Mytilus edulis: one gene and its partner. Each later gene encodes a partner of the first gene's protein in a complex. Links are inferred from orthologs where the notes say so. Each region holds a gene or a part of one and is shown on either strand. Other genes may lie near its edges.

Region 1 (5,340 bases):
GGTATATTTAGAGCATGTAGAGGCTATAATTTCATAATCATTATGTCATAAAACCCTTATATACAGTTATCAAAGCCTTTATCATCATGATCATGACAGATTATTGCAAATTCCAATGTAAAATTTTTCGACAGCTTACATTTGGAAGTGGAATTGCAGAAGAATGAAAAATACCAAAAATCTACATTATGGATAATTTTGAAATAAAATTCACTATCAAACCTAAAATACAATTTATAATTTTAATTTTCAGATTACTTGCAAGTTTGGTTATATTCTATGTACAAATATCTAGTTTCACAATACTCACAGAAATGTAAGAAGAGTATTTTAGAGAAGATCCAAGGATTTGTCTTGACCAGTACTGGCACCACTACATAAAGGACAAATAGAATAGCAGAGAATGTCTTTGCTGCTGAGGTTAACCATGGCACATAAAACCTGAAATAAACATACATGTAACAGACATTAGCATGATTAGAGAATGTCTTTACTGCAAAATTCAACAATGATACTTAAACCCTTAAAAACATAAAAGAGGGACGAAAGATACCAAAGGAACAGTCAAACTCATAAATATCTAAAATAAACTGACAACGCCATGGCTAAAAATGAAAAAGACAAACAATAGTACACATGACACAACATAGAAAACTAAAGAATAAACAACCCGAACCCCACCAAAACCTTGGGGTGTTCTCAGGTGCTCTGGAAGGGTAAGCAGATCCTGCTCCACATGTGGCACCAGTCATGTTGCTTATGTGATAACAAATCTGGTAAATAATCTAATTCGGTAGGTCACATTCATGAAAGGGAAGGGGATTGTAGTTACGACGTTATGGCATCTGTAAAATTTATGAAGGGATAATTTCAACTTCACCATTTAGAACTCTTGGTTTAATAGCTTCCTTGTGAGCAGCAACCATCTATCCAGAAAATCATGATAGGAAATGCAAGCACGTTCAAATAAACATGTTCCAGAAACCATTTAAATTTATATTTTGAAAAACTGTTTAGATGGGGACTTCAATGTTTGCCTTACAGGTAAATATTACATAACAACTCCATTTCAGGAAAATGTAGGCATTTCCATGCACAATCTTCAGTATTGTCATGTTCATGATGCTGTACAAAGCATGTTCCATTGAGATAGTCTCGTAATAGTACATATGTATCGTGGATGGATTATTTGCATTTGTGTTAGGTAGCTATAGAGTTTTAAAAGTTTCCTATTTTGACCAGGGTAAAATTCTGAATATAAAAATTATTGTATACATGTCCCATAATCATGATAATATCAAATTTTGGTGCATGACGATATACATGTAATAATAAAGTTATTTGAGTCTAAGACCTTTGTCAAATCACAATTAGAATATTTTGATGAATGATGGTAAAATTTCAACCAATTTGACGCTAACAGTAGCCAAAAATTACTGTTTGACGCCTAACGATATGTGAAGGGATTGCTTCCCTTAGAACATTTAGTAGATACTTAGTCAGCCATAAGCCGTTGAGCTAAGGAATTACTTCTCTAGCTCAGTCCGTTAACACCCTGCCTTATAGCTTTTAACACAGAGGTCCCGGGTTGGAGACCTGTTGAAGACATGCGATTCTGCAAGTAGAATCATGCTCTCCACTAAGATTGGCGCCCAACAATAAAATCCCACAATTAGAAGAAAAACATAGCCAGGTTAAAATATAAATATAAAAAAGATGAAGATATCATTATAGAGTATTTTAATGGGGGGAAGTGTACATGTGATGGGATTGCTTCCTTCAGAACATTTAGTAGATACTAAGTCAGCCATAAGTGCACATGGTTGAGCTAAGGAAGTACTTCTTTAGCTCAGTTGGTTAACACGCTGCCTTGTAACATACATTGTAGAGGTCAAGGATTCGAGTCCCAGTGGAGGCATGCGACTTTGAAAGGAATCCCGGTCCGTTCGCACCCTACATGTTCGTGCCCAATTTTAATTGGTTTTTTTTTTTGTAATCATGCAAGTTTTGGCAAGAGTATTCTTCTTGTCATTGTCTTAAAATAAAGTGAGACAGCATTTTATCTTTGTGTTGAACAAATCTAAATCATGTTTTGGATAGTGTATTGTTAAAAAAAAATATAATCCTTTCTATAAATAAAGTGGGATTCTGTCAACATTTTATTTTATATTGAATAACTCTTAATCATGTTTTAGTTACTGTATTACTATAACTTTGTTTTATAACTTGTTTCAAAACAACTAAATGAGATTCTGACTACGTTTTTTTTTTTTGTGTGTTGAATAATAAGTTTTATCATGTTTTGGTTATAATCAGATAATAGTGTATACGTATTGCTTTATCTTATTGTTTAATTGTTTCAGATCAAAGTGAACAAGCTGTCAAAAACAATTATCTTTTGTGTTTTTCATTCAAAATCTTCAGTGTTTTACTCATACCAAGCTATAAATACATTCAATATTTACACCAAAGCAATTTAAAACAACAATCATAATTTCTAATTATTCAACTGGAATTTGAATTAAAATTGGGCGCGAACATGTAGAGTGCGAACGGACCTTGGGTGCGAACCTGCGCTTTCGGGTCGATCCGGCCCAACGTCGATCCGGCCCATATGTAAAGTCGATCCGGCCCCAATAAAAAAAAAAAATTTCTAAGGAATAAAAATAAATATATATTAATTGTAATTCATAAATGTTTATTATTTTTATTATAATGTTAAAGGTGTACGGTAATAAAAGTAAAAAAGGCCTTTGAAAAATATTTTTCATTAGATGAGTATAAAACAACTAGGTTGATTATGTCTTTATTACAAGTTTTCAAGATTATTGGGTATAATTATATTAAAACAGTGAATTCAGACATCAACATTAATCAGCAGTAATTAGCATTTTCTTTCAATTGACTGTGATCCTAACAAGTCTTTCATCTTGTGTAACATATAATAACAAATAGTTACATACATGAACGGTACAAGCCGATCCCCAAGCTGATACATATAAATTTGTTTTTCTTTTTAAGTTCTTAAAATTTCTAAAATTGAGAAATGTTGTTGCATCATCGATCGGACACTTTTTTCAAATTCCATTTATACTGTTAAAGTTTGTGACAAAATCTAGTTAATTCATATTTTATTATGGGCCGGATCGACTTGGGGACGGATCGACGTGGGCCGGATCGACTTGGGCCGGATTGACTTTGGGCCGGATTGACTTGGGGCCGGATCGGTTTGGGGCCGGAACGACTGGATACCCGAACCTGCGAGGTGCAAACGTGTAGGGTGCGAAAGTGTATTGGGCGTGAACGGACCTGATACCTGTTACCCTTTGAAAGAAGAATCATGCTCTCCAGTTACAGGTATAAGGCATTACTATCCTCATTCATGAACATTAAGCCTAATTTACTTGAAAACAAGGGAAAGAGGGTGGTTCAAAATTGTGTCAATATTGATTTTTTTTCCTATTTAATAAACTGTGTATTGTCACCAATGACAATGGCACGAGTATTCAACATTAGCATAGTAGCAGATGGTAGCAGTCCAAATGTTTTCGGCTTGAAAAAGAAAGATAAAATATAACAAATACAGTGTTACAGCATATAAAACTTTCTTAGTCTAAAGAGTCTTGCTATTTAAAATCCTTACATTTTGACGTTCCAGATTTTGAAACGGGAAGATCGGAAATGATGTTAATTTTTTACGAAGTCGGAAAAACTAAGGAAATCCGGTTTATAAACATGATATAGCTTTACACTTTAATGATGAAAAAAGACACTTGAAAAACCAATTACCATATTCCGGCAACCTCATTACATTATCAATTATTATTTAAATAGAAATAATCTATAAATTACCATAAATTTAGCCTTTCAAGTAGAAGTTTAAACAATCGAAGTAAATTGCAGAGTTGGTCCGGATTTGATTCTCAAATTCTATAAAATGGCGGGAGAAGGAGAAACTGTGGAAATCATAACAGAAACAATATCACAAAAAGATGAGACAGACATAAGTCATTTAAAGAACAGTGATGAAAATAAAACAACAAACTTAGAAAATGAATCTATATCAGAAAAAGAAGAATCAGATACTATTCCTGCAATCGAGAATGGCACTCATGAAGAAACTGAAACACATGAAGATCAAGAAGAAACATTAGAACAAAGCTCTAGCACACAAGATCAAACTGAACCTTCAGGGACTAGTGAATCTAAGTCACCTAATTCAAATGAACGTTTAATGAGACTGCCGTTATCCCGCATTAAGGTGATAATGAAAACCGATCCTGATGTTACTTTGGCGAGCCAGGAAGCAGTTGTCGCACTTTGTAAAGCAACAGAACTTTTCATCGGAGCAATTTCTAAAGACGCAGTTGTAACCACATTAAACAGTAAACGAAAAACATTACAAAGAAAAGACCTTGATGTAGTGCTCGATTCAAGAGATGGCTATGCCTTTTTAGAAGGAACATTAGATTGACAAGTTATTGTACATATAGAGAAATTATAGGAGAATTATATGAACTGACAAGTTGACAACGCAGTTTAATTCCATGAATCTGTGAAGGACAGTACAAAGACGATTTGCGTGATTAATGAATGGGCATTTAGCAAACAGCTATGAGTATCAATTCAATATTCATTAAAGCTAAAATTTGTACATCTTCTGAACATGCTCATGATGCTGAAAAGTCCAAAATAAAAATGTGTGTGCATGTGTTACTAATTGAAATTTAAGTTTATACATTTGTAACAAGGTTCATGTGCTGTAATATAAATAATATCTATACTTTAACTGTATTTTTTTTTAATATATGTACTGCAACTGTGGTTTTGGTGGTAGGTGCTTGTCTCAAGAGTGAGTTTAATTCCCAAACAAAGACTTGTAAAAAATGGTACATTTCCTGCTTCTTTGCTTTATAGCATCATGAGCATACAGTAGTTAAAAATGATGTTAAGAACAAGTATGAAATAGGGTATGATTGCCAATAACTGTTCACCAGAGACCAAATGACAAAGTAAATACATGTAACAACTAAACAAGTTACAACTATAGGTCACTGTATGGTGCCCTCAACAATTAGCAAAACTGATACTGTATAGTCAACTATTGTAAAACAATGAAAATAACAGATTGATTAATGTTCAAAACATTGAAAAGATTTATTTTTTATATAATACAGCAACAAGTTAACCAATGAATTACAAGCTCCCTACAGAATGTGGCAGGGTAAAACATGTTTGCAGGTGCCCAACCCTCCCCTAACCTAAGACAGTGGTATAACATCACAATATATTAACAAACTATAAAAACCATCATCAGGCATGTCAGTTACATTTGTAGAT
Region 2 (7,630 bases), on another chromosome or scaffold:
ATTGGTAATGTTTTCTACTCTAGCTCAGTCAATATAGTACACTGGATATGTAGGATGGCTTGTTTCGAAGCTAAGACATTTTCACATATATGTGGTTAAATTTTCGGAATACGAAGTGCGATTTTTTTTCACACAACAATTTCTTTGAAAATTTAAAACTTTGAATACATTAAAAAACTTCATAGTTTTTACATATTTATACTATGATCCTCTACTTTCCAGATCAACACAAATGGTAAAGCTCAGTCACTTGTTAAAAATGAAACATGTTCAATATCACTACAGAGACAATTTTTGTTTACACACAACTTTTGTGTTCCTCATTTGATGGCGCATTAGTTCCTCATTTGGAGGTGCATTAGGAATATTGACCCAGCTGGTCTTGTGTTGGTTTCAGATCTCTGAAAAAAAAATCATAAATTATAAAATACAAAAAAATAAATTGATCCCAACTTATGAATTACAGCAGTTCTTAAAAATTATCCTGTGTTTACACATAATCAATATTTTTTCTATTGCTGGTCTTATAATAAACTGCAGATTCATAATTATTTTATATTGTTACTGAGATGTTTGTATCTTTGCCAATTATACACATTTTGATGATGTACATGTATGTTAGAAATTTAACACAATTTCAACAGTATATAATTATTCATAACTTATGATTAACCTTCGTTCTTATTTAAAAAATAAATTTGTTGTTAAATTGAACATGTGTTAATGAAATTATGTCTGTTCCAGAAAATACTATGTCCGCCCCTAAGGGACAGCCCTAAGCCCTTTTTAAAAAAAAAAATTCCAGCACCGACAGAATTAAAAATTAATAAGAACAACACTTCCTTTGCATTTTGGTATTTCATACACAACCACCCCCAAATAAAATTTAAGAAAAGAGCTTTCCCTGGGGGAGAGGGGACATAATATTTTCTGGAGCAACCAGTGGTTATTCTACAAATAATTAATAAAGGAAGTTTGGTTTCACAATATTGTCATTTTTCAATTAATTTAAGATATGCAAAGGATTCTACCTTAATAAATTTAGCATGTACATCGATACAACAAGACCTCATATCATATGCCAATGAACGCAATCTATAAAATCAACAAAATATAATTTGATAAATGAAATTAATATAAGAAGAATGTGTCCATGAGCCACAAATGATCTTATCAAACTTAATTTAAAGGACATATCTAGAGAACAGTAAAGCAGATGCTCTCCAAATTCAAACTCTGCATTTTATGATAATAAGCGTTGTGTATTGGTTGCATAACATGTGGTTTAGGCAAACGTTAGATAACAAAATCCAATTTTGAGTTCAATGTACATGTATGTACGTACAGTACAAGAGTTAAACTATATCACTCAGTTAAGGAGGACAGAAAAAGAGCTGATCAACTGATGTTTACCTTTTTAAAATCTTGGTCCAAATTCTTGAGCTGGTGCATGCTTAACTGTTACATGGTTACTGCAATGATTTCCTCAACCTCAGACACATTGGATCTGTGGATTTATATACAAGACTCTGGAAAAATAAATAAAAATACGTTCAATTATCTTTTATATTCTTCTGTCTGTTTCATATAAAAAAGAAGATGTGGTATGATTGCCAATGAGATAACTCTTTACAAGAGACCAAAATGACACAGAAATTAACATTTATAGGTAACCGTACTGCCTTCAACAATGAGCAAAGCCCATACCGCATAGCCAGCTATGAAAGGCCCGAAATGACAATGTGAAACAATTCAAACGAGAAAATTCACCGCCTTATTTATATAAAAAAAAATGTTAGTCCAACAAATCTTTAGGAGAACAAAGTGACAAATTTAAATGCATTCCAAAATTCATATGTTTTATGATTGATTACAACATGGTTTCTGATCACATATTTAGTGATTGTACATGTAGCTCGTCATTGATAAACATGTAGATTTCATATTATAATAAAATTGACGGTACTAATTTTCTTGCACCAGATGCGCATTTCGACAATACATGTCTCTTCAGTGATGCTCGTGGCCAAAATATTTGAAATCCAAAGTTTATATAAAAGATGAAGAGCTATAATCCAAAAGGTCCAAAAAGTATTCTCTCTACGAGAGAAGCTCTACTGTGATAGTCGAGTTGACATATTTATAGACCCTCATTGATAGGATTTCAACCTCCTGTGGTGAAAGGAATCAGAGCTTTGCATGAGGGAGATTCATTCCTTAATTTATAATAATTTCTAATATATTGTTAAATTGTACAGCAAAAAAGATGTCCCTATGTACTGTTTTAACACCTGTAAACTGGGTTTTACCCTGAAAACAAGAAAATTTTACCCAACTTTCAAGGCTAGATCCTAGTCTAAATCATTATGACACTTTCAAGACTTGGAAGGCTGTTTTTTTATTTTTTTCTGGGACGCCTTCCTACAACGACCTAATCCTATTGCGACAACCGTGATGGCTATCTTAATTTTTTTCTGTGGCGCCTATATTTTACAACATCTTTATTGGCACAATTGTCTATTTCCATGTCAGACCCAGTGATACAATGATTGATCGTTTGTTGCTCAACATCCAGTGGCAAATATTTCATGCATGTTAGCGACGACCCCCAGTGATATATGCAGCATTATCATTAATAGGCCAGGTTGGTAATATGCCAAGTTTGAAATGTGCGGAGTTTGTAATGGACCCAAATATCTAAAGTGCTGAGATGTTTAGCTTCACATTTTCTGATATTGATAACATGGATAAGACTTTTATGCTTCAATGATTATCAAAAAATAACAGAGCAGACACTTGTAGCCTTAATATATAGGGATAGTAGCTCTTGTCACAGATAGAAAACAAGTACTTGTGGCTGTGCACCCCTCCCCCTTTTTTTTACTTTCTACAGTTTTTACTTATTTTTGGATCTCCTGAAACAACACAAGTTAATCACGAAATTTAAATAACACACATCATGGCTAAAATATCTTGTATCAGTGCAATATATTGACAGTATAAGAAAAAGTATCATATTTCAACACGATCACGTATAACCGACTTGAAAGAGGCGCCCAACACGGTAACAGCTGTTTTATTTTCATCAATCAAACTTGTTTTTATCATGGAGAACCTATTTGGTGTAATGTGCAATCATTATTTTACCTTTTTCTTTGTTCTGGAATCTGGATCAAGCTATATTTCCACTGCCTCACTGTTTTCAAAAATCAAGCGGCAACAGTGCGCATGCTCAGACTTTTCATAGGATGCAGCGGTAAAACCCGAGTACTGCTGAACGTTACACTAATCAAATCGTGAAAAACGATTATGAAATCCAAGTGATAAATGATGACAAAATTTTAATGATATAATAAACAATAAATATTCATATAAAATACATATATTAGAACATTAAAATTGGATTTGTAATATTTTCTTTGACATCTTGATGCAAATTATGTCTGCGGGAAAAAAGGGGGATTTTTTTTTTAAATCGATAAAATCGTAAATATATTCTAGTGAAGGTGAATGATTGATATATCCAGGAATACTCATTATGACATACCCCAAAAATTCGTCCCATAAAACCAGATTTTTACAATGTATTCACTACGTTCTTATAATCGGATTATGACAGTTATAAGCACGTTGTCACAACGTAATAAAATGTTACGTCCTGACAAGGTACTAAATTTACGTGAATCCGACGTAATTTCATAACGTCGTCTGTACGTCTGCATCCAACGTTGGATTTTTACGTTCCCACAACGTTGGTACGACGTAAACTCACGACATGACGTTCAGACGACCATTAACCGACGTCGGGAGTACGTCGTGTGTTTACTGGGTCGGTACTCAGAGTAGTTTTTGAGGTGAAAATACGGCCATATTTGTCCATTAACAATCATACAACTGGTACCATTCTTCATGTTCTTACAAATTTTGTTTTTCTATTTTGTGTCTTGTATCCCTGAATAATCATTATAGTCAAAAGAAATATAATGAAGAAATCACCGGTAGCATACAGCACATGTAATAAGAAAAACAAGACAAAATGGACCATGGCACTGTTTTTGTAAACTTATTGGAGCTGAAATTTTGACAAGGAAATGTTATAAGTTGAACTAGAAAATGCAATTAGTTAATTACTTTCACTTTACGTGCTATGGGTGTACCTTAAGCCCAATGAAGTGTTCGCTGTTTACCAAAATTAGGACAGTCGTAATTATGTACCGACCGAGCCTCTTGACAACTTTTCCAACTTCCGGTTATGGGAATGGTCTGCATAGAATAAATTAAAAACAAATGACACATTATGTGCATAAAGTGCTTATTAATGAAAATATGAAACATTAGTTTTAACGATCACTTCTATACATTGATCATTTTAAAGGAAAAATGGAACATTAAATTTTCTGCATATATGAAAATATATCTAAAGGACCGAAAATATAGCAAGAAATGAAATACCAATATATTTACTAATGATATTTGAAATCATTTAAATTCGAAATTAAGAAGGAAAGATATAATAACTGGATGGACTTGCATTAATCATTTATATAAATATTGACAGATATTTATCTTTATTTGATTGATCGTCTTTTCGGTTTTTAACAGCACCATGGCCAGTAGTAATTAAAATGGCGGGAAGCTTGGAAAACAAAGAAGGATACCAACATAAGTAAACGTCCTGCAACATTAACTCGACAAGAGACTTTCACATCAACTATCCTGTTTTCTTCATCTATTACATTTTGACAAATGTAAGATTGTACTGACGTCCGGGGCTGTTAGTGTTATTTTTTAACACAACTAAAAATTAAATTTAAAATTAATAAATTTTAAAATAAAAATCACAGGCACTTGTTTACTCGTAAATAAACGTTAATAGTGGGTCTTCCCATGGAGAGAAACAAGTGGCTGTGATAAAAATCTAGTTCAGCCGTAGTCGTTTCTACAATAATAGTCAATTCGGTCACAATATTCTAATGTTGTTATATATGCCTCCTTAACCTTATTTTATGATGGAGCTATTCGCCGTTTCAGAATCTAATGCATCCTGGGTAATATTTTCAAAAGCGTACACCAAAGCGTTTTGATTGGTTTAAAACGTCCTAAACAATCGAAATTCAACCAATGACGTAACGTTATTTTCACTTTGGGGTAAGAACAATACACCTTATCGCTAATCCCGGCTGACCCGCCCGCTTGAACTTTTGACGCATACAACAATTACTTTTCCATTGGGCCGTTTTTATTAAATAAGTTGGTTTACGGATCCGCCGACCCGAATTTTCGCTAATTCAAATAAAAATAAACGCACATTTGTCCTTAAAAATTATTTCCGCCGACCTCATATTTCTCGATTTACTAAGAAAATTTTAAACGGAATTTTTGTGTTTACGTTTCGTATTCTGGTTCCTATTACTGCATTAAAAAATCGTTAACCAGTGCACCGGAACGTGACTGGTAAGCTTTCCCCGACACCCAAAAGCGAAAACAAGTCGCCCTCTTCTTGACGATACTCGCTTTCAGTCGCTTCCGTCATCGGACATTTTCAATTTTTACCAAGTTGATGAAACATCATTTTTTTATTGATAATTAAAGAAATTAAGACATAAACGGTTCATTATCTTAAGAAAAGAGGCTGAAGCATTGTATTTGCAGTGTGTAGCAGTTTATTTGATAAAAAATACAACTTTTTATCACCTCGACCATTTTTGCAAGTTCCGGTGCTTGTTACTCGAAAACGTACATCAACCTAAATTTCGGCGGTAAAATAAGTTTGTTACTTCATTTAAACGTGATAAAAGTTGCCTCTAGTAAATGTTTAATCCATTTATTGCATTAAAAACGTCATGTTCCTTTCCAAATAACTTGTCAAACATCGTTTATTTTTGTAAATTTTCTTGCATTCGTCCGCCATTTACCGATTCCTAAAGTACGGATCTGAACCGGACCAGCTAAACCGAAATCCGTACTTTTACAATAATTATTACGGACGCACGGATGGAACAGCTGACAGACGAATATTGACCACAAAGGAAAAAATTACGTATTTCACATGCATTAAGAGACTTTTAGTTACATCTAATTGATTGGTGTATATAATTCCCTATATTTTTTATGTATTGAATTTGTTTCAAACTTTATTAAAGTTGCTTAACTCGGAGACTATTACACTAGCCAGGGCCGTAACTACATTGAGGCAAATGAGGCAAATGCCTCATCTTAGAAATTAAAAAAAAAAAAAAAAAAAATGAAACAAAAGATTGTCTTAATTTCAAATTGTTTTCACGGAAAGTGTCTAACAAGAAGCAAGTTCTCTTCACTCTCTGGTGTCGCCCCTGCATGTTTTTCGTGATCCATGTTTCTTTTTTACTTTTAGTTTTCAGAATTGATGGTCTGTTGTTTGAACTTCTGTGTCCCGGGTTTGTCTTTTGCTCATTTATTGTCCTACTTTATGACAATAGTCTGAGTGTTGATTTTCATTTGTAAACGTGTAGTTATGCAATGTTGCATGCCCACTGATGTCCAGATATTGTGCGAGAAAATATTTTAAAAATATACTAGACATAAAAAAAAAAAAAAAATGGTCGTTTCTGCATTGAGAATTGAATTTGATATCAGAGAATTCACAACTGGCTTCTTTTGGTTAATAAAACTAGATAGCTGGCATGGTTTAAATTAGAGTAAGGTCACCAATTTTACGGTATCAAATAATTTGAAAAAAAAGCAATAATGTATTGCCATATGACCATTTCCATTGATGTGTTAAACTTGCATTATCGTCATGTTCAGACCCTTTTACAGAAAATAAAGGAATATGGAGTAAATGTGCACGAAACCTAATCGCACACAAAGTCATTGCATAAAAAAAATACTAATGATCAATCATTTGGTCAAAGTTGCTGGAGGGTCTTCAACAATAAAAGAATCATTAATACCGTAAAACAGGGTCAAGATGGTCCCTAGTGTCGACTTAAGCAGTTCTAGTATTTAAAGCATAATACTGCACTGTCACTATATTCCAATCTAGTCATAAAAATGTCACCAAAGTCTAAGCACAATACAAGACTAAAACAGACAGACAGATCCGGTATTAATGATTAGGAGAATTACGAATTTTGCGTTGTCCATAAAACCTTAAAGACTAAAATTAAAATGAATCTATGTTTTTGCTTTCAGACCAGAATATTATCGAAAGAAAGCTAAAAATTAATTGCGTTTCAATGTCAGAAAGAGTCTGGGAAACGCTCAGAATGCACGATTTTGCGTTATTTTTCTCAGAGCTTCTGGGGGGCCTTGAGCGGTCCCAGTCCCCTCGCCAAATTTTTTTGCCTCGCTCCGCTCGGCGATATATTTTGCCTCACTATTTGAAGAGGCTAGTTACGGCCCTGCTAGCTAATATCAATATATTATGGCCCAGCTTAAATTATATATTTTTTGATGAGAGACACTGAATTTCATACTTAAGATAGTTTTGAATTAAATTGTAATTGATATATTATAATTTCTTTACATTTTTCAAAATAAAAAAAAATTTTTTTTAGTGCTAGATATTAAATATTTAGTTGGAAGTTTCTCACAAGAACCTAAGTAAAACTTTTAATTTGAAATGTTACTTTAATTGTATACTCAGATA

The links.
Region 2: DNA polymerase epsilon subunit 4-like (region 1) and DNA polymerase epsilon subunit 3-like share a complex: the UniProt entries of both Drosophila melanogaster proteins name them as parts of the DNA polymerase epsilon complex. The link is inferred for Mytilus edulis from reciprocal best matches to the Drosophila melanogaster genes PolE4 and Chrac-14.

What each region holds. Positions count from the first base shown.
Region 1 is NC_092346.1:1,157,954-1,163,293, forward strand, and holds DNA polymerase epsilon subunit 4-like, read left to right. Parts: upstream 1-3,909; 5' UTR 3,910-3,937; coding exon 3,938-4,474; 3' UTR 4,475-4,613; downstream 4,614-5,340. Other genes in the region: lysophosphatidylserine lipase ABHD12-like, read right to left, coding at 311-441, 3,644-3,645. UniProt on the Drosophila melanogaster protein: Accessory component of the DNA polymerase epsilon complex. Participates in DNA repair and in chromosomal DNA replication. Has a role in cell cycle progression. Required for wing morphogenesis.
Region 2 is NC_092345.1:43,553,206-43,560,835, reverse strand, and holds the start of DNA polymerase epsilon subunit 3-like, read left to right. Parts: upstream 1-4,589; 5' UTR 4,590-4,748; exon of another isoform or gene 4,749-4,774; intron 4,775-7,630. UniProt on the Drosophila melanogaster protein: Accessory component of the DNA polymerase epsilon complex. Participates in DNA repair and in chromosomal DNA replication. Histone-like protein which promotes nucleosome sliding of ATP-dependent nucleosome remodeling complexes.